3 linked regions of the Tamandua tetradactyla genome follow. The protein of the gene in region 1 binds, or shares a complex with, the protein of each later gene. Links are inferred from orthologs where the notes say so. Each region holds a gene or a part of one and is shown in the gene's direction. Other genes may lie near its edges.

Region 1 (7,060 bases):
ATTGGGTCACATGACATCTGAATTCTTTACGGCACGTTGCAAGTTGGAAGATCAATGAAGGTGAGAAGCCTCAAGTTGGGAACTTCAATGAAGGTAATGAATTATTCAGAAGCTGGCTGTCTGGAGTAGAGAGAGAAATTCTTCGGTGTGACTGCCGAAATAATCAGGTCTCGCTTTACTAAGGCCTTTTACTGATTGGATGAGGAGATTCCTCTACTTGTTGAAAGCAATCTCCATTGCTAATTGTAGATGTAACCAGCCACAGATGCAATAGATGACTAATGATATAAATCCATGAAATATCCTCACAGTAAAAATCAGACCAGTAATTGCTTGACCATATAAACTGGGCGCTATCATTCAGTTACATTGACACATGAAATTAAACATCACAGTGAAAGAGTGGAAAAACTGGAATCCTAATAATTTACTGGCAGAAATATAAAATTGTATAGCCACTTTGGAAAACAGTCTGGCAGTTCCTCGAAGATTAAACATGGAGTAACTACATGACCAAGCAATTCCACTCCTACGTATGAACCCTGTGGTAGTTAGATTCAGGTGTCAACTTGGCTAGGTGAAGGTGCCTAGTTCTACTGCTGTGGACATGAGCCAATGGCATGTGAATCTCCTCTGTTGCTGATTACATCTGCAGTCGGCTAGGAGGCGTGCCTGCTGCAATGAATGATGTTTGATTTAATTGGCTGGTGCTTAAATGAGAGAGCTCAGTGTAGCACAGCCCAAGCAGTCTATCATACCTCATCTCAGCACTTGCAGCTCAGCCCAGGCCTTTGGAGATGCAGAAAGGAATCATCCCCGGGAAAGCTGTTGGAACCCAGAGGCCTGGAGAGAAGGCCAGCAGAGATTGCCCTGTGCCTTGCCGTGTAAGAAAGAACCTCAGTTGAAAGTTAGCTGACTTTCCTCTGAAGAACTATACATCAGCTAAATAAATCCCCTCTTGTTGAAAGCCAAGCCATCTCTGTTGTGTTGCATTTCAGCAGCTAGCAAGCTAGAACAAACCCCAAGAGAAATGAAAACATATGCCCATGCAAAAACTTGTACACAAACGTTCATAACAACATTATTATTTTGGACATTGTATTCACAACAATAAAAAAGCAGAAACAATCCAAAGTTAATGTGGTATATCTGTACAATGAAATATTATTTGGTCATAAAAAGGAATGAAATACTAATACATGCTATCATAAGAATGAACCTTAAAAGCATTATGTTAAGTGAAAGAAGCCAATCACAAAAGACCACATGTTGCATGATGCTGTTATATGAACAATCCAGAATAGACAAATTTATAGAGGCAGAAAGTAGATTAGTGGTTGCCTAGGGCTGCAGGTTAGGAGTCGGGGGAGGAAATAAGAGAGACAGTGCTAAAAGATAAAAGGCTTCTTTGGGGGATGATGAAAATATTCTGGAACTAGAAAATGGTGATGATTGCACAACTCTGAATGTACTAAAGACCCACTGAATGCTACCCTTTAAATGGGTGAACTTTAAGGTTTGCACATTATATCTCAATAATGCTTTTAAAAAAATTCCCTTGTTCCCTTCGCCCAGCTTAATAACTTCTCATGCAATCATCGTACATCTATCAAAACCAGAAGATGACATCGAGACAACACTACTAAGGAAACTGCAGAATGTGCTAGGATTTTTTGGTATATACCTAGATGAGGTATTGCTGGAGTATGTGGTAGTTCTATACTTCAACTTTCTGAAGACTCCCTAAACAGTTTTCCACACTGGCTGGACCATTTTACAGTTCAACCACTGTTTAGAGCAATGCCACATAGTGAAGCTTATACAGGTGTTATAAATGTCATCACATGATAGTAATGGCAATAACAATAACAAACTTGGTAATGATGATGCCACTACCTCAGTCAGGTTGGTCTCCTCATTGTTCTCAGAACACACCAAGTTTGTACCTCTTTCTAAATTCTTACTCTAACAGTTTCCATCACCTGGCATTCCTTTTCCCTCCCCCTTTCTTTACTCCTATTAAATCATTCGCATCCCACCAACTCAGTCAAATCCCCTTTAATATTCTGCTCTCCTGTCTCTGAATTACATGAAACTCCACACCAACCAGCACTTGCCTGAACTCTCTCGCATTTTCCTCTAATTGTTTTATTGCAGACCTAAATTCCCAACTACACTGAGAAAGGGTTACATTTCTTCCATATTCTCCACCGTAAACTAGTTTGTTGACTGAGATTTAAAGTTGTTATTAGAAACAGTGCAAAGGATAGAGCAAGAGGCAGGAGATGGTGAGGAATTCAGGTAGCAGGACATAGGCAGAGCTTGAGGGACTCAAGGAACTTTTATAGGGTGTCCATTATTCACCCCATCTTATAATGAAAATCACTACCAGAGAGAGAAATGAGGATGGAGCTTGAGTGGGGGGGGAAAGATACCCAGCAATGAGTTTCCCATGGCCTCCTCTTGTTCTAACATAATTGACTAACTCCTCCTTGAGTATGTAGCACGGTGAAGTAGCCTGCCTGGAGCTCCCATCACACCTCATAGAAATTACCTGGTTTCAAGTTTGCTCTCCCTACTCTCCTGTGAACTCTGTGGGAGCTTGAGGCTGTCGGTTCCCTGGCTATATCCCCAACACTTGGGACTTTGTGACACTCAATGGTTGATGGTTAAATGAAAGAATGTAAGAACAAAGGATAGCTTGACCTGGATGGAGTTAGTACTGCATCTCAAGTCTGACTTTAAGAGAATAGATTTAAAAAAAAGTGTTTTTTTTTTAAAATTAGAACAGTTGGAGATTTACAGGAATATCATGCAGAAAGTATACAGTTTCCATATACCCCCCCTCCACACACTCAGTTTTTCCTGTTATTAACATTTTGCATTAGTGTGGTACCTTTGTTATAACTGATGAAACTATTATTATAAGTATTAAGTTGTTAACTTCAGCGCACTGTTTACATTAGGGTTCACTCTTTGCATTGAACAGTTCTATGGATTTTCATCCCTTTTCAAATACAAAATTCCCTTTTTATCCCTTTTCAAATACATAATTACGCAGTGTTAATAACACATTCAAAGTTGTTTCTCCATACCCAACATCCATTGCCAAAATTTTGTCATCACCCCAAACAGAAACTCCATACCAATTAAATTTTAACTCCCCAATCCCTTTTCTGGTAACCTATATTCTAGTTTCTGACCTTACAGATATGAATAGTCTGCTTATTTCACATAAATGAGATTATGCAATATTTGTCCTTTTATGTCTGGCTTATTTCACCTAACAGGATGTCTTCAAGGTTTATCAATGTGGTAGCAAACATCTTAACTTCATTCCTTTTTAAACTAAATAACATTTCATTGCACGTTATATCACATCTTATTTATCCATTCATTTGTTTAACCAACTCGGGTTGCTTCCAAAATCATTTGGCAACTGTGATTAATGCTGCTACAAACATCGGTGTGCAAATTTCTATTTGAGTCCCTGCTTTGAATTCTTCTGGGTATATACCTAGAAGTGGGATTGCTGGGATATATGGTAATTCTACACTTAAGTTTCTGAAGAATTGCCAAACCGTTTTCACATTGGCTGCCCCATTTTACATTCCGACAACAAAGAGCGTTCCCGTCGCTCCACAGCCCTTCCTGCAGTTGCCATTTTCCGTTTTCTTTAATAGAAGTCATTCTAATGGGTGCGAGGTGCTATCTCACTATAGTACAACAATGTGCAACTTTGACAAATTCATTACAGCTCTGCACGCTTTAGTGTCCTCTCGTTTCGCGGTCGGTCACTAGCCGCCAAGGGCCTCCGACGCATGCAGGGCGGGGCTTGCGCCTAGGCGGATTACATCTCCTCGCGTTCAAAACCTTTCCGCGCATGGCCCCGCCCCCTCGGCAGGCTATGCAACTTTAATTGGTGCTCTCTCCAATCTATCCGAGGATATCGGCGCCTATTGGATTAACTGCTAAAGCCCGGTGGCGCACTTCCCGTTTGGAACGCGGAGGGGACGCAGATTTTCCGCCATTGTGCGGCGGCAGCTACAGGAGCGGTCTGCGAGAGGGGCTGTGGGGGTGCGTGGTGGCCTGCGGGACGTGGGGTGGCATCGGGCGGAGCGGCGGGGGGGGTTGGCCCAGGAGAGACTGCAACGAGGGTAGCGGGGCCTCAGGAGCGCGTTCGGGCTTCTCTTGTTTTGGTCCTGGGCCCTGATGATTGATTTTTCTCTCCTGCCGCTCCCCAGATTCTCCCGGCATGGCCGGAGTATTTCCTTACCGAGGGCCGGGTAACCCAGTGCCCGGCCCTCTAGCACCGCTACCAGATTATATGTCAGAAGAGAAGCTGCAGGAGAAAGGTGAGGAACGTGAGCGGGGCCTGCGCGTGCGCGCCCCGAGACGTGGTGACGGGTGTGCGCGTGCGCGGAAGCGGGTTTTAGCTTGCCTTTAGATTTTGGCAGGTCAGCCTCCTCTATTGCCAGCTCCCCTATTAGCACCATTTATTTATTTATTTTTCAGTGAATCGAGTCTTTCCTAAGCGCCTACTATTGGCAGGCGCTTATCCAACCGCTAGGGATACAATAGCCATAAAGACAGTGTCCTGCCCTTAAAGGGTTTAAATTGTAGTGAGGGAATAGATGAAAAGTTTAAACTCTGTAGCATAATGTCAGGTAAGTGCAATGAAAAAAAAAAAACAGTAAGGTGACAAGTTTTAAGTGTGGGAAGTGATCAAGAGCCCTTAGATTCCCTGCTGGGTGTCCTGCCGTCCTTTGCTGGCCCTGGCAGGAGGTTACCCTAAAGCAAAAGGTGGGATAATTAGGTTTAAGGTGTGCAGTCTTTTAAACTGAAGGTACCTTTGTAGCCCGAAAATGGCAGCAATTGCAGGCGAAGCGCTATGCAGAAAAGCGAAAGTTTGGATTTGTGGATGCTCAGAAGGAAGACATGCCTCCAGAACATGTTAGGAAGATCATTCGGGACCATGGAGACATGACCAACAGGAAGTTTCGGCATGACAAAAGGGTCTACTTGGGGTAAGGAACACCCTGGAATTATTTCGTTGGCGTTTGGTTCCTTTCCTTTCTCCCTGCTCATAGGTTATAGTACTATAGAATAGATAGCTACTCTGTCATTATGGAATGGGACTCTACAATGGTAACCCATTGTGGTTACAGAATTTTCAGATTGGGATTCTGTGATAATTTTCAAATCTTCCAGTTACGTTCTTTTTTGATCTGATTTTTCTTCCTAATCTGGTGCAGAAGCTTTCATTTGTTCTATTGCTGCTAACACGTTTCTTCAGATGTCCTTCTGATTGAATGGGTGAAAGCCCAGAAAGGGTTACTTTGTTCACTTTGCCTGCACTGTAAATACACTCCTCTTGGATCAGAATTCTGAGCTTCGGGATATTTTTACCCGTGAGGATTCTGATTTCTTTTGTTTCTGTGGCCCCAAGGTGGGTGAGTACAGATACAAAGGCCTTAGCAAATCCCTGTCTCATGTGGACACAAAAATGTTAGCCACTTAATGAACTGGTCTAAGACAGCCATGGAAGTTCTGTTTATTTCAAAGAAATTTTTTGAGAACTATTATAGGGCCGTAACAGTGAATAAGGTAGTAATGATCTCTGCCTTCATGAGCTCATGGTCTAATGGCACCACAGACGTGAAACAAATGGTTATGATAAATTATGGTGACTATTATATTGTCATTTTTGGGGTTGGGGTACAGAGAATGTGAGACAGCCTGGAAGCTAGACAAGAGGGTATGATTTAGAGATACTGATAACCCAGTGTTGTGAGACTGTGAAGTTGAAGAGAAGGAGGAGCATGAGGTGAAGTTGCAGAGGGGGAGACAGTTCCTGGTCATGGGATACCTCTAAGGCAGGATTTTCTGTAGAATGTGTTACTGTGATACTGTGACTTTTGGACATAGGACTCCTTGTCATGCCTGATTACCTTCTCTTTTCTTCCTAATACTGCAGTGCCCTAAAGTACATGCCCCATGCAGTCCTCAAGCTCTTAGAGAACATGCCTATGCCTTGGGAGCAGATTCGGGATGTCCCTGTGTTGTACCACATCACTGGAGCTATTTCCTTTGTCAATGAGATTCCCTGGGTCATTGAGCCTGTCTACATATCTCAGTGGGGGTAAGAAGGGCTGGGATATGGTGTATGGGGTTGGTAGTTGGGGTCAGTGGGCAGGAACCGTTGTGTGACATTCTTGCCTTCCAGGTCAATGTGGATTATGATGCGTCGAGAAAAGAGAGACAGGAGGCATTTCAAGAGGATGCGTTTCCCCCCTTTTGACGATGAGGAGCCACCCTTGGACTATGCTGACAATATCCTAGATGTTGAGCCACTGGAAGCCATTCAGCTAGAGCTGGACCCTGAGGAGGATGCCCCTGTGTTGGACTGGTTCTATGACCACCAGCCATTGAGGGACAGCAGAAAGTGAGTGATGGTTGGAGCTATGATTCCTGTGGGAGTTCTAGAAACCCAGATGAGTATCTGGAAATGTGGTATAGATTGACTAGCTGGAATAACTCCTGACATGGGCTCCTCTTTTTTTTCCCCTTAGATATGTGAATGGCTCCACGTACCAGCGCTGGCAGTTCACACTGCCCATGATGTCCACTCTCTACCGTCTGGCCAATCAGCTCCTGACAGATTTGGTAGATGACAACTACTTCTATCTGTTTGATCTCAAGGCCTTCTTTACCTCCAAGGCACTCAATATGGCCATTCCTGGAGGCCCCAAATTTGAACCTCTTGTTCGAGACATCAACCTACAGTAAGTTGGAGAAAGTAGGAATTTTAGGTTCCTTGAGTCGATTAAAATCTACTTTTTGTCCCTACGATCCCAATGTAACTTCCGAATTAATCTGCTCACCCTTGATTTTTGTATCCTAGAGATGAAGATTGGAATGAATTCAATGATATTAACAAGATCATCATCCGGCAGCCTATTCGCACTGAATACAAGATTGCTTTTCCTTACTTGTACAACAATCTTCCACACCATGTCCACCTCACCTGGTGAGAGAGCCAGAGCACAGCTGGGACAGG
Region 2 (7,131 bases), on another chromosome or scaffold:
GTAGGCCTAGACTAAGCTCCTGATATGGGCGTCGGTTATTTCTATGTCCCGGGGTGCTTTGCTCCTTGGAATGCGGGAGCCTGAGGCCCGGCATTGGGGTGTCCAGCTCTGCAGCGGCGTCCCCTGGCAGCAGCTGGCAGAGAGGCTGGCAAAGGGCTAGGCTCGGATGCAGGCTGAGCGGGGCTGGTCTGGTCAGGTGGGCACAGGGCAGGGGAGGGCAGTCAGTGCTTCTAGAGCCTCGGCTTCTCGGGGAGACCAAGGGACCAGAGGCTTACTTCGCCCACCATGTAAATTTTCTGTGGCCGACTATCTGACTTAACCCGCCAGGTCTATTTACTTGGACAACCTAAGTCAGCTTTATGTGGCTCGGAAGCTAGAAAGGGAAATGAATCTCAGCGTTCTGTCCAGGCTGATGTGCTATCCCGTTGAATCACAGAGTGTTTGCAGCATAAAATGAAAAGGGGCTTGCAATCCCCTTGAGGAACCGGGAAAGCACGGGACTCTGAATCTTCCCCACCTGGGGAATTCCTGCTGGCCTCTCAAGCAGCGGCACCGCCAGGTGTAGCAAGCCGAGCCCTCAATCCTGAGGCTCGCCCTTAGGAAACCGACTTCTGTAATGGCAAAGCTGAGCCTACTTAAAATTAGGCCTTAGGGTCACCCCCACTGAGCCTCCTTCATTGCTCAGATGTGGCCTCTGTCGCTAACTCTGCCAATAAACTCACAGCCTCTCCCTACATGGGACACAACTCCCAGGGGTGGAAGATTCCCTCGCAACGCGGGACAGAATCCCCATGGGTAACCCCCCTGACACCATGAGATGAGCAACAGATCCGGGGTCAAAAGGGGGAAAATAAATAAAATCAACTTTCAATCGCTAAGAGATTTCAGATTGAGCCGGGAGGTGCTGGGGGTCAGTCTCAAACAGGCTGCAGCCAGATTCTGCCCAGTGTTCCCCAAAACCCTATGGAGCACCCCAGTCCTATCTGAAATCTCTGTAGTTATTTCCCCAACGTGAGATAGGTGCAAACCATCTGATCACAATCCTTCTACTCCTTTTATTTAAACCTTTACTTTTTACTTATCAAGTTTACTTTCCTGTGACTTAAAGCCTCTGCATTGTTCCTATACTAGTTAAGTCCTGGAACCCAGTGGCACCAGTCTCTCCAGAACAACCAGTCTCACCCCCCTACCCCATAACACAGGTGCCCCTTTCCAGCATCAAGAAGTTAGAATTGATTTGGTACAAAATTCATATTTTGACTAGTGCATCTCCTAATGTAACTTATGTTGATAGCTTGATTGAACACCATAAGTACTTGGAATCTTGGGTAGGACATGAGATTTTGTCGGTTTGTCCAGGTGATGCCCCAATAAATCCCAGAGTGATTCGATCAGTGAGTGGAAAAATATTTGCAAAGAATGGTGAGAATGGGGGAAAATTCAACTTCCCAAGTTGAATTCTTGATATCTCACAAGCAGTGTAGACAACCAAAGCTATAAACTGAGCCCCGAGTCTTGGGGGTTGTTCATATGAAAATTACCCCACAAAGGACACTAAGCCTACTTAAAATTAGGCCTAAGAGTCACCCCCAAGAGAGCCTCTTTTGTTGCTCACACGTGGCCTCTCTCTCCAGCCAACACAACAAGCAAGCTCACCACCCTCCCCCTCTCTACGTGGGACATGACTCCCAGGGGTGTGTACCTTCCTGGCAACGTGGAACAGAAATCCTAGAATGAGCTGAGACTCAGCATCAAGGGATTGAGAAAACCTTTTCTACCAAAAGGGGAAAGAGAGAAATGAGACAAAATAAAGTGTCAGTGGCTGAGAGATTCCAAACAGAGTTGAGAGGTTATCCTGGAGGTTATTCTTACGCATTAAGTAGATATCACCTTGTTATTCAAGATGTAATGGAGAGGCTGGAGGGAACTGCCTGAAAACGTACAGCTGTTTGTCCCAGTACCCATGTTTCTTGAGGATGATTGAATAATGATATAGCTTTCACAATGTGACTGTGTGATTGTGAAAACCTTGTGTCTGATGCTCCTTTCATCTACCCTGTCAACAGACGAGTAGAACATATGGAATATAAACAAATAATAGGGGGAACAAATGTTAAAATAAAAAAATTAAAAAATATTAAAAATAAATTAAAAAAACAGAAAAAAAAAAAAGTTAGAATCGTCTTTGTCCAGCTATCCCGCAAGACTGAGGAAATGGAGAAGCAAGAGGAAGGAGATACAACCTAGAATTTAAAAATGAGTAAATGATTCCTGAATCATTATATTGATGCTTTTTTCCTTCTATGGTGTAGAATGACCAAAAGTTAATACCTGAAATTGCTGGAAGTGACTGAACTCGTTCCAGCCTTTGTGTGCCCTTACTATTGTGATTGTTTTGGCCTTGACCCAGCCATTGTTCATACTCGCTGCTGTGAAGATAACTGTTCTGTACCCCAGAAAAGACACACACTGCTTTAATGCATTCTTGTGGAGCAGACCTACAGTGGTGTGACCTTTCGGTCACGCTACTTTAATTCAGACGTGGCCCAAGCCCATTTCCGAAGGGTCTCCATCCTTTACTGGAGTCCTTTAAGAGCGCTCAGGGGGGCGATTTCAGAAAGAACCCCCCCCCCCAGGAGAAACTAAGAGAGAAACGCCCAGAGACATTTTGGAGATGGACCAGCAGACTGATCACGTGCCTTCCCACATGAAAGAAGAATTCCCCACGCCAGCAGCCTTTTCTCGGAGAAGGGATCTTTCTCTTTCTCTCTTTTTTTTAATGGGCAGGCACCGGGAATCGAACCCGGATCCTCTGGCATGACAGGCGAGCAGTCTGCCTGCTGAGCCACGGTGGCCCTGGGGATCTTTCTCTTGAAGCCATTTTCACGGCCTTAGAACCATAAATTTGTAACCTAATAAATCCCGTCGCAAAAGCCAACCCATTTCTGGTATATCGCATTTCAGCAGCTTTAGCAAACCGAAACACACTCCATCTTTCATTATTTGAATCCATAAAATATCCAACTCCTTAGACCCGGGGAGATAGACTTCCTGATCTACTTCACGCTTAGCAACACATTCTCTCTTTCACGGTGAAGGAGTTGGCCATTGGGTGCATCGGGCAGAGACCCCCCTGCTTTTCTTTAGTAACAGGTGCTGCGGGTTGAGCTGTGGCCCCAAGATGCACCTACCTCCTGGCTCGGGTACCTGCGCGTGTGCCTGATTTAGGAATGGGGCCTTTGCAGATGTCACTAAGCTAAGGGTTGCCAGGAGTCACCCTGGATTAGCGTGCGCCCTAAACCCCAGGACAGTTGTCCTTACAAGAGAGGAAAGGGAGAAGGCCACGTGAAGTGGGGCAGCCAGGACATGGGGGATGGCCGGCGGCCCCCGGGGGCTGGGAGAGGGGCGTGGAGCAGGCCTGCTCCCTCCCGCCTCCGGGCTCCCCAGCTGTGAGACCAACTGCGATGAAAGTCCCCAAGTGTGCGGGAATCCGTCCTGCAGCCCTGGGCCTGAATCCACCCGCCTGCTCCCCGGGCTCCCCGGGCTCCCGGGACTGGTTCCTAGGAGGGGGGGTTGCCAGGTTTGAGCATTTCCGCGTCTCCACGAGCAGGGGCGGAGCAGGTGCTCGGGGGTGACGGGTTGCACGCCCACGGGCAGAGCGCTTTCCCGGCCCGGCAATCCGTCCTCCCCGCGCCCCGTAGAGTGGCTACTATTATCCCTATCTCACAGGCGGTACACTGAGGCTCGGAGGGGCGCCGTCGGGATTCCAACCAGCGCAAGGCCCTCATTAAGTAACAACCACAATGGGGGCCATCAGGCCCGCTCCTGTCCCCCCCGGGCCGGGGCCGCAGCCGCCCAGCCGCCCGCCGCCGGCAGTGACAACCGCTGCCCACCACGTGGAGCTCGGGAGCCCGCGTGAGCGTCGCACGGCGCATGCGTCACTAACCACAAGGCCTCCTGCGCCGCCGCGCGCTGCCCCGCCCCCCTTTGCAGCCCTCGCCGCCGCGCTTTTCGGCCGCAGCCTTTTCTCCTCAGACGGGAAGTCGCCCCCGCCCCGCCCTCGTGCCCAGAAGCCGCCGCTCTGCCCGAGGATTGGTTACCCGGGCCCAGGGCCCTGTGTTGATTGGCTCGCGCCGCCGCCACTCCTCTTCGGCCTGGTGGCGCGCGGCGGAACGGCAGCCGGCGGGAGCGCGAGCGGCGACGGAAGTGGCTGGCTGGCCGGGTCCCCGCTGGCACCATGGTGAGGGCAGGCCGGCGGCGGGGCCTCGCCGGGAAGTGGGGTCGCGACGACCGGGGCCGCGGGGATCCGGGGGCGCGCATGCCTCGGGGCCCGAGCCCCGCCCCCGGCGCAGGCGGGGAAACTGAGGCCGGCCGCGCGCCGGGAGCGCGGGCCGGGCAGAGCACCCCCGCTCAGCCGTGCGGCGCATTCCAGGCTCCGCCGCGGCCCGTCCCGCACCGTCCTGGGCCGGGGAACAGGGCCCGAGGCCAGGCTTCCGCTCCGCCTGTCCCGGCGCACCGGGGAAGAAGGGAGGCCGCGCAGGGCTCGTGGCGCGCTCTCCGTCCGGCCCGAGGTCCGGTGTACAACCAGCGCCGCGCTGGGGAGACCTGCGCCGCATCCCGCTGGCCGGCAGGACCCGGAGGAGGGGTCCGCGAGGCCTCAGCCCCGTGGGGCCGCCCTTCGTTCCCATCTGTAGTGTCTCCTTGGAGCCTGTGCGAAGCGTGGGTGTTCAGGGCTATCTCCTGGAAATGGGCCGCCGGGGTCCTCGACTCCTGGCCCTACGGGAGGTTCCGTGCTCCCAGAGCAGACCCATAGAGACGCTCCCCTCATACGGGGCTGGGCCCCGGGGGAGCCCGAGAAGGGAATCACGGCCCCCTGTGGGGGTCCCGGAAGGCTTCCTGGGTGAGAGGCCACTCGGACCAGCCCTCCGTGGCTTTATGCCTGAGGTCTGCATGGCAGTCATAACGGGAGGGCCAGAGTGGCCCTTTCTCCTCCTGGTGGCATCTGGTGCATCTTCCTCTCCCTGGGGTGTCACGCCCCTGAGGACCAGTCTCTCACCCCTGCCTTCTCTCCAGCAGTTTGGGGCTGAGAATGTGGAAGGCTGGCAGAGGGCTCTGTCGTGGCCTGGACCGGCTTTGACCGGGGCACCTCCCAGTCCTGACGCCGCCTCATCTGTGAGGCAGGGACAGGCCCTGGGTATGGACCAAGTCCACACTCCCTTAAAATTTTCCAGGCCAGCAGGGGACTCGCCAGGGAGTTATAATAAATAAACAGAAGAAGAGACTGGCTGAGTCCTGTCCTGGAAACAGGCCCGGGGCAGGGGCGGTATCAGGACGCCCAGGGAGGTATGGGGGCAAAGGTCGCCAGGCAGAGTGGGCATGGTGTGCAGACAGGAGCAGGTCAGGGCAAGTGTTTTCTGCTAGATGAGCAGAAGCCTCTGGGGGGGCCGTGGCAGATGTCTCAGGCACTGCTTTGTGGGGAGGGGCTGCAGGGTCCTCCAGGGCCGTCCTGACCCTGGGTGCAGAGGTTGTGTCCACCGTATGAGGATGTCCATGGTCACCGTCGGGTGCTCCCAGGGTCACATGCAAACCGGGGTCTGCACCGGACACCCAGGCCTTTCCCCAGACTGGGTCCAACAGGCTTGAGCAAGCCCCCGCTTCAGGAGGTCATGACCCACCTGTTGTACAGCCCACACAAACCAGCCTGAGGCCCCTTTTCCCTCGGGGACTCCCCCAAGCCACCCAGAGGCGTTCTGGGCGTGGCCCCACACCATGCAGCCGTCCTTTCCCCTTATCTTGCCCTTCCAGGAAACCGGGTGAGGAAGTGGACGTGGGCCTGGCTTCCTGCTAGCACCAGGCCTTCCCTGGTGGTTCCTTGGGATAGCCGGGCAGTCCCACGTCTCCCCTCAGTAGAGGCCTGCGTGTCCCCCCACCTGGAAAAACAGGGTCCTGTGGACCCCAGAGTGTCCCTGGAGGGAGCTTCTCAGGAGGGGAGGCTAAGTCGGGTCACAGGGAAGTCTCCAGCCTCCCTGGGAGACAGTTCTCGTTTTCCTTGTGCACCAGCCGCCACACAGAGCCACAGTCTGCCCTCCGTGGTTGTTGTCTCGACAATGAAAAGAGCTGGCTTTAATTTTTTTCCCATCGTAAAAATCATATATGTAACTGTAAAAAAGATCTCTAATGATGGTAAAAGAAATTGAGTATCTTGAGTACTTAGTGGATCTGGATATGTCTCTAGAGAGCTCATCCTTTCTTTGTGGTGAATTTGCAATACCCACAGGCTTTTCTGGAATGTTCCCTCTCACCTGGTGAGTTCTCCTCTTTGCAAACCCAGCTCAGGTGTCACCAGCGGGGCCCGGCAGGGTTTTGGTCCAGTCCCGGCTGTCCTTTGGCGTGGCGTTTGGTGGCACTGGCTTCAGGCATGGGGTCAGCCGCAGCTTTGCTGCTCCCTGGCTCTAGCCCTGGGCCAGCTCCTGGGTCTTGTCCCCATGAGGCAGGTGCAGCGGGAGCTGCCGGGGTGTTGAGCAGATGGTGGCTCTGTGGGACGGACTGGCTCCTGGGGACCCCGTGGAACGCAGGTGGGGTGGGGATGAGGGTGGCGTAGGATCTGCCCCAGGTGCAGCCCCAGCAGCCCAAATCACGGCTTCTGCTTGCCTTTCAGCTCCCCCTGTCGCTGCTGAAGACGGCGCAGAACCACCCCATGGTGAGTGCGTGTTTGGGGGTTGGAGGTGACGCAGGCTCTGTGCGGGCCTGGATATGTGTGGACACAGGGGCCGCGGTTCTGCCGTGTCCAGATGGGCTCGTGGGGGGCATGTCGCCCAAGATGGCTTCTGTCCTCAGTGCTCGGTGGGGCACCTGTCCACGTCACACGACCTTTCCACTTGTGGGGTTCTCGTTGGTGTTTCATTCACAGTCCGTAAAGTCACAGCTGTTGAGGGGACGTTTCACTGTGAGCCGCTCGGGCCCCCTGCGTCTCCGTCTCCTTGGGTGACCAGTTCAGTGTAGTCCGCTCTTAGGGACCACAGCCTGTGGGGTGCAGACGCATGGGTTTCCCTGAACGGCTGTTTTCTGTTGCCGTGCGTACAGCCCTGCACTTCCCTTAAACCGTGCTCGCGTCCACGTCTCAGCGCTGTC
Region 3 (7,143 bases), on another chromosome or scaffold:
CTCGGTCTGGGCAGCTCCCCAGGGTCTACCAGTAGGATGAGGGATCCCAGGAGAGAAGCCTTATGCTAGACACTGCGGGGATCCCCCAAGGTGGCCCTCCCCAGCCCTGGCTGTCTCCTAGTGCCTGCCCTGAAGAATCCCCAGGTAGAGCCTGGCTGGGCCCCAAAGGGCCAGCAATGAGGAAGGTCCTCTGGGTCCCCCTGAGCACCTGCCCAGGTACAAACAGCCAGCAACTGCCCACCTGAGGTACATACAAGGGATAGGAACACAGACAGGAGGCTCCTGGAGGTTAAGGAGGGCTGGGCCTTCAAGGGACATGGCAAAGCGGGCCTGGGGAGGGGTTCGGATCAGACCAGGGGTCTTGATGCACATGGGCCCCTGGCTCCGGGACTCAGTAAAATCACATCGGGAGCTCCTCCTGTCATGCCTGCCAACCCCCGTTTTGTGGGATATGGGCTTTTAGAGGAAAAGCCCCACAAGACCACACACATGAGCCCCAGGCCCAAGCCTGGCCCCTCCCCAGCAGCCTGCTGACCATGTGCCCCAAGCGAGGGGCTACAGGGACCCCAGACACCAGCTCAGGCGCAGTGCCTTCTCTGTCATCTCAGGCAGGAGCCGGACCCCTGGTGCCAGCCATCAAATGAGAATCAGGCCCATCCTCACTGTGCTGGTCAGGGGCACACCCAGAGAAGTTGAGTTTTGAAGGTGCCCTGCCCTGAAGAAGCTGGGCAGGGGGCCACCATCCCTGCAGCCTCAGGAGGGAAGGGAGGGCCTGAAGTTGTGGACAGGGGTGCTGCACTAAGGTGGCTTCCCACTCCCCCAGCCTCTCCCACTGGCAAACCACTGGGTACCTCTTGACCCTGAGGCAGAACTAGGAGCCCCTTCCTCCCAGACTCGCCCCAGAGGCCACCCCTCTACAGCAGGGGGCCCGGAGTCTGTGCTGGCCAGATGCCCACTCAAGTAGGTCACGGCCACAGACAGGGCCTTGCTGTCAGCAAGTCTGCTCCTCGGCAGAGGTCAGAAACCAACACCCCACAGGCCAAATGCAGAGCCCCCTGCTTCTGTAAATAAAAGTTTTACAGGCACACAGCCACGCCCTCTCACTGCTTCTGAATGCAAAAGCAGAGTCCAGCGGCTGTAACAGGGCACATGCAGACGTATGGCACCCAAAGTATCCACTGCTGAGCGCTTCGCAAGACACAGCTGCTGACGCCCATTTTGTGGGATACGGGCTTTTAGAGGAAAAGCTTTCATTGTGTAAAATGAAAATTGATAGAAACTGTTCCTTCGAAAAAGGTGACTTAAGAATACAAAACAGCTTTCACAGGTTCTCCTTCCCAAAATTTGAAGAACTGCCTTCAAAAAAAAAAAAACTGTGATTTTATCAAACCTCAGAGAAGGCAAGCTCTTGCCTTGAATAGTTTTTCTCACCTGCTGAGCTAAAAGAACCAGGGAAGGTTCTTCAAAAGGATGCAGATTCTGAGTTCTCGTACAATCATTCTGAATTGGGAGAACCGAGACAGACAGCCTTCCAACACCTCACAGCTAACACACACTCAGGGGCTCTGTAGCGGCTCCATGGACACATAAGCCTCAGGAGAGTTTTAAAAAAAACTGATGCATCAGGGCTATGGGGCGGACTCCTTCTAAGAGATATTTCAGGAAAGGGTGAAAAACAAGGATGCAGGAACTTTGGAAAAAGATGTCATGGTGGCAGGGTGAAGGGGGACACTGGAGGGGGGAGGTAGGGGCAGGAGGGGCTGTGGAGGGTCCATGTGGGGTGAGGGGGCTACAGAGGGGTGGTAAAGGGAGCTTGTGGGGGCTGCAGAGGGGATCTCTGATCAACTCAGGCCTGAGTAACCAGCCCCGCAGGCCTCTGCATCTCCTCTCACAGGCTTTGTTGTTACTGAGAAGGGGGATATAATCTGGAGAGGCCGACTCACTTGTCCAGGGTTACCAAATGGTGGCAAGTGAATGTGGGATCATCATCAAGCAATCTCCAAGACAGCCAGTCTTGGGAGTCAGGACTCAAACACCCCCGCTTCCACTGCCCTGACTCAGAAGCCAAGTGGGCAGAGCCCCAGAGCCGCAGTCAGCATGGGCTCCCTGGTATGCCTGTTGCAACTAGGCTATTGGGAGGGTAGGGCCACGTCCCCCTGGCACTCCTCAGGAGCATTCCTGGGCTCCCCATGCTCAGGGCAAAGCATGAACACCTCAGCAACAAGAGCCCTCAGAATCTGGTTCTAACCTGTCTGGCCCATGCCCTGAACTCCAGCCCTGCCTTGTGCCTTCTGCCTGCAGCTTTGCTGGGGGACCCCATTCCCTTCCTCCATTCCAGGTCCATCTGTGCCTCCTTCACAGCGACACCTCCTCCAGGGGGGGTAGGTGAGCTCCCCTCATACCTATACCACCCTATGCACCAAACATAGCAAGCCCCCTCACCAGTCCCTAAAATAAGTCATCAGCCTTCTCACCCACTGTTCCCACTGCCTACAACAGCCTCTCCCTTCCCAACCTGGCAAACTCCTACGCATCCTTCAAAACACTCCTAGGGGGTCACTGCTTCTGAAAAGCCTTTCCGGGTCATCCCCTCCATGGCATTCCCATAATGCATTGCCCATTTCCTGCTTTTCTCTCATTGGGAAGATCTTCAGAGCTCAAATTCCCCTATTCAAATTGCTCACGAACTGGTGAGGAAGGCCAGAAAACAGAGTGTGATCAGGCTACAATGGGGGAAGAAGGGGAGGGCCTGAAGCAGCTGGGGAAGAGGTATCTCTGCACTTGTGAGACTGCAGGACTTGCAGGGCCAGAAGTGGAGGAGGGGTATTTGAGGGCTATAAAAGCGACTAGAGCTCAAGCTGTCCTCCATAAATGCCTCCCCATTAGGGAGAGCTGAAAAGGGAGGGAAGTTCCCAGAGCAGCCGGATCACAAAGAAAGGCCTTTCTCAATGAGACAGGAAGCCGCTGGAAGCTCTCATCTGGAAGTGACCAGAGCTGACACACATTTGGAAAAGATTGCTCCTGCTGTGTTGCAAATGGCTTGGTAGGGGATTGCTGGGGGAAGTCAACAGTGGCCAAAGGGAGATCTGACAGGAACTACAGCAGAGAGAAGCAGACTGAGAGGAGCAGAGAGATTCGAAAGACCTTTTAAGTTAGAATTGCAAGAGAGGAGTCAAGGTTAACTGCCCACCAGCGCATCTGGAGAGCTCTTAGGGGCACTTTTGCCTGGGCTGCAGCGCTTGGGAGGAAGGGAGAGTTTGGAAAGATGAGTTTATGACAATACACATCAGCTACCTCCTTGTCCACTCTATCCTTTAGAACCAGAGCCCCTTAACGCTAAATAACAACATACTGAGCCCAGCAGGCTGGTCACTCCTTGTAGCATAGGAATGAACCCACAAAACTCTCCTCTCATCCCCCCTTTTACAGACAAGCAACTGACCCCCAAGAGGGAACTCCCTTGTCCAAGGTCAGAGAGTAAAAGGGAGCGGGGATTCGCTCCCCGACGCTGCCAGGCCTACGGTCCTGCCCTGCCTTGACCACAATCCCTGGGAGGAGTGCTAGCATCATGCCCGTTTTTGCATACGGGAAAACTGAGGCTTGGACAGGGGCAGCCACCTGCCCCAGGCCACGCAGCCGGGGAGGGGCGGACGGTGACTCCGAGACCGACAAGCGGAACCGTACAGAAGGGAGGGACGGGGTCCCGCAAACTACAACCCCGGCTGGGACGGAGTGACGCTGTAACTGGGAAGGATTTCCTCGACGGGGAAGGAGTACAGGCCAGAGAACAGCCCGCAAGGTCACGGCCGGTCCCCAGACCCCGAGGGCCGCCAGCGCGGGGTCGCGGGTCCCCGAGGCTGGTCCCAAGCCCGGGCCGGGTGGGTTTCTGCTAGGGGCCCGAGGGACGCGGAACGGGGGGAGCCGCAGCCTTCGGGACTGTCGGGCCCGGCGTGGCCCTCACCTGGGCCGCGAGAAGGAGAAAGGCGGTCCCGAGCCGCGCCAGCGCCAGCGCCGCCGCCGCCGCCGCCGCCATGTCAGCCGGTCCCCGCCGCAGCCGTCGGCCGACGTTTCCCGGCAACTCCCGGGGCGCCGGGGCGCTGGGGCGCAGGGGCGCGCATGCGCCAGAAGGCCGCGCCTGCGCAGAGCGGTGCGGGGCGGCAAGATGGCGGTGAGCGCGCGGAGGTGTGCCGGGGCGGGCGGCGCGAGGCCGAGACACGCTCTCCGCCTCACGAGGTCTGCTTTCCACACAGGACAAAGAGAAGAAGAAGAAGGAGAGCATTTTGGATCTGTCCAAATACATCGACAAGACGATCCGCGTGAAGTTTCAGGGAGGCCGCGAAGGTGAGGACCCCGCCACCCAGCACCCTCCTTGAACAATTTAAAATAAATAGTAACATCAATTATCATAACTTGCACTTAGGCAGCTCGTTCAATGAGCAGACACGGCTTTAAGCGCTTTAGATGGACTAACTCGTTCAATCCTAACACCGGGAGGTAGGTACTGTTGTGCCCATTTTGCAGACGGGGAGACTGAGGCACAAACTTAACGCAAAGTCACAGCGGCGCGGCCAGGATCGGGATTCACGAGCTCGCTTCCTTTGCGGTCTTGTCTTTCCATCTCCTGCCAGGGGGAGGGGGGCGCCCCGGGGTGGGGGGGCCGCCCCAGCACCTCACTGGTTTGCCGGCTATGTTCATGCCCCCCCTTCCTCAGCCTCACCGCAGTTGACCCTGGGGACCTGATAGGTCCTGGGCACTTCAGGATTTTGACTTGCATCCCTGGCCTCTACCCATTCGATGCCAGTGCCATGCACTACCACCCCCCATCCAAAAACGTCTTAAGTCGTTGGTAATTAATGTAGCATTGAAAACTAATACAAACGTGTTGAAAAGCAAAAGATGTGTCTCATTCATATATCCTGGCGCATGGTGTAGATTGAGTTAACATTTGTTCAAATTCAGAGTCTTACTTCTACCAAATACCTAGTCTAGCTATCACTGCGCTGCATTGCCAAATTCCCCTGGGGGGCAAATTCGCCCCAGCTTGAGAATGGGGCCCCACCTTCAGTCTCCTCTCAGAGGGCAGAGGGACCTGTTAAAAACAGAAACTGAATCTCAAGTTGCTCCCTGCTGACTCCTCTTTCTTTTTTTTCTTTTTTTTTTTTTTTTTCACATGGGCAGGCACTGGGAATCGAACCCGGGTCCTCTGGCATGGCAGGCAAGCATTCTTGCCGCTGAGCCATGGTGGCCTGCCCTGGTGACTCCTCTTTGTTTAAGATAAAAAATGGCCTGTGGGGTGGGGCGTGCAAGGGGGGGGGGGGGTGCAACCTGTGAAGCACGTGTTTTTTCTTTATCTGGAATGTTTGTACCAGAATAACTCCCAGAGTCATTCTCTTTCTCCCAGATCAAGGTTGTTGTCTCTGGGAAGCCTTCTCTGCCCACCTCCATCCTCAGGCAAGGCCCTTGGTTATAGGTTCCTGGTAGTTGCCTATCACAGTTTGCGAGTTTATGCTCCTTAATATGATGCTTAATCTTGCAGCTGACTCTTTGACTGGAATCTAAAAAATTCTACATGGTAAGTGCCCTGAGGATAGGGACCAAGTCGAGTTCTGCTAACTTGTGTGGGCAGTGGCTCTGCTGTCTAACTCTGGGTTCTGGTTCTAACCCATCAATTAGATGGCACAGGTTAGAATCCCAGCTCTTCCACGCGCTGGCTGTGGGACTTTGCACAAGTTACTATCCTCTCTTAGCCTCAGTTTCCTCATTTGTCAAATCCTTATCAGGTTGTGGTGATAATCAAAGGGCATAAGGCATGTTTAGCAGGGTACCTAGCACATAGCTTTTTTTTCTTGTATAATATATATACAAAGCAAAGAAAAAAGCAATAGTTTTCAAAGCACTCTTCAATAAATAGTTACAGGACAGAGCGTAGTGTGGGACATAGCTTTTGACCACATTTCATTTATTCAGCAAACTTTGAGCCTCAGTTTCTTTATTTCACAGGACAGATCTCCTGATCCCTTCTTCCCCAAGGTATAGGCAATTGGGTAGCATCTGAGATGTTGAAAACACAGCGCTTGAAAGAGTAGGTGCCTGGCAGAATTTGAATAGAATTTGAATCCAAATAAATGTTGGCTCAATTTATACTATGCTGGAACTGGGATATACGGATGAGATACAACTCTTGCTTTTCAAAACATTTGCCTTAGTTTTCTATGCTATGTACCAAATTACCACAAGTGTAGCACCTTAAGCAACAAATTTATGATGTCTTCATTTCTGGAGGTCAGGAGTCCAGGGGCCTCTGTCTCAGAGTCTCCCACAAGGTTGCAATCCAAGGTGTTGCTGTGGGACCACGGCCATCTCAGGTACAGGGTCCTTTTCCAGGCTCACTGGTTGTTGGCAGAATTCAGTTCCTTGAATTTGTTGGACTGAGATCCCTGTTTTCTGTCTAGTGCCCTGAGCTCCCAGTCCACGTGGCCCCTCCACCACCTGGCTGTTTGCTCCTTCAGGGCCAACAGGAGAATCTCGTAGAACAAGTATAGTTACTAGTACAATTATAAAAGTATTCTTTCAAGATAAAAGTGTCTTTCATGAAGTGTAACAATACGCTACACTAATGGAAGGGATTAATAGTAGGGCGATATATGGGGGCCCTGAATCTTGTACATGATTTTTCTGTAAACCTACAATTTCTCTAATCAAAAAAAAAGTGTCCATTCCCTTTATGGGCTCACCTGATTAGTTCAGGCCCACCCCAATTAATCCGCCTTTGGATTAACTCAAAAGTCAACTGATTTTGGAGGGTGCAAGGGTAGCTCAGTGGTAGAATTCTCCCCTGCCGTGCAGGAGACTTGGGTTCGATTCCTGATCCATGCACTTCCCCCAAAAAAACAAACAAACAAGCAAAACAAACACAAAAATTCAACAAATGGTGCTACAGTAATGGGATACTCACATGGAAAAAGAATGAAATTATTTTTCTTTTTTTTTGTATAGCATACAAAAAAAAACAGTCAATGGATTTGGGGACCTTAATTATGTCTGCAAAATATCGTCATCTTTATCACATCACTTAATCACAGGAGTGGCATTCCCATCACATTCACTGGTCCCATCCCGCACCCAAGGGTGTGCCCACCTACC

Evidence for each region. Proteins that work in one complex are often made in the same cells at the same time.
Region 2: PRPF8 (region 1) and LSM4 share a complex: the UniProt entries of both Homo sapiens proteins name them as parts of the U4/U6-U5 tri-snRNP complex. The link is inferred for Tamandua tetradactyla from reciprocal best matches to the Homo sapiens genes PRPF8 and LSM4.
Region 3: PRPF8 (region 1) and LSM7 share a complex: the UniProt entries of both Homo sapiens proteins name them as parts of the U4/U6-U5 tri-snRNP complex. The link is inferred for Tamandua tetradactyla from reciprocal best matches to the Homo sapiens genes PRPF8 and LSM7.

The regions. Positions count from the first base shown.
Region 1 is NC_135332.1:55,445,932-55,452,991, reverse strand, and holds the start of PRPF8 (pre-mRNA-processing-splicing factor 8), read left to right. Parts: upstream 1-3,967; 5' UTR 3,968-4,077; intron 4,078-4,244; 5' UTR 4,245-4,255; coding exon 4,256-4,355; intron 4,356-4,858; coding exon 4,859-5,027; intron 5,028-5,977; coding exon 5,978-6,142; intron 6,143-6,226; coding exon 6,227-6,445; intron 6,446-6,572; coding exon 6,573-6,785; intron 6,786-6,904; coding exon 6,905-7,030; intron 7,031-7,060. UniProt on the Homo sapiens protein: Plays a role in pre-mRNA splicing as core component of precatalytic, catalytic and postcatalytic spliceosomal complexes, both of the predominant U2-type spliceosome and the minor U12-type spliceosome.
Region 2 is NC_135337.1:96,200,259-96,207,389, forward strand, and holds the start of LSM4 (U6 snRNA-associated Sm-like protein LSm4), read left to right. Parts: upstream 1-4,126; 5' UTR 4,127-4,237; coding exon 4,238-4,240; intron 4,241-6,658; coding exon 6,659-6,700; intron 6,701-7,131. UniProt on the Homo sapiens protein: Plays a role in pre-mRNA splicing as component of the U4/U6-U5 tri-snRNP complex that is involved in spliceosome assembly, and as component of the precatalytic spliceosome (spliceosome B complex).
Region 3 is NC_135337.1:80,543,061-80,550,203, forward strand, and holds the start of LSM7 (U6 snRNA-associated Sm-like protein LSm7), read left to right. Parts: upstream 1-4,138; 5' UTR 4,139-4,162; coding exon 4,163-4,168; intron 4,169-4,250; coding exon 4,251-4,341; intron 4,342-7,143. Other genes in the region: SPPL2B (signal peptide peptidase-like 2B), read right to left, coding at 3,962-4,033. UniProt on the Homo sapiens protein: Plays a role in pre-mRNA splicing as component of the U4/U6-U5 tri-snRNP complex that is involved in spliceosome assembly, and as component of the precatalytic spliceosome (spliceosome B complex).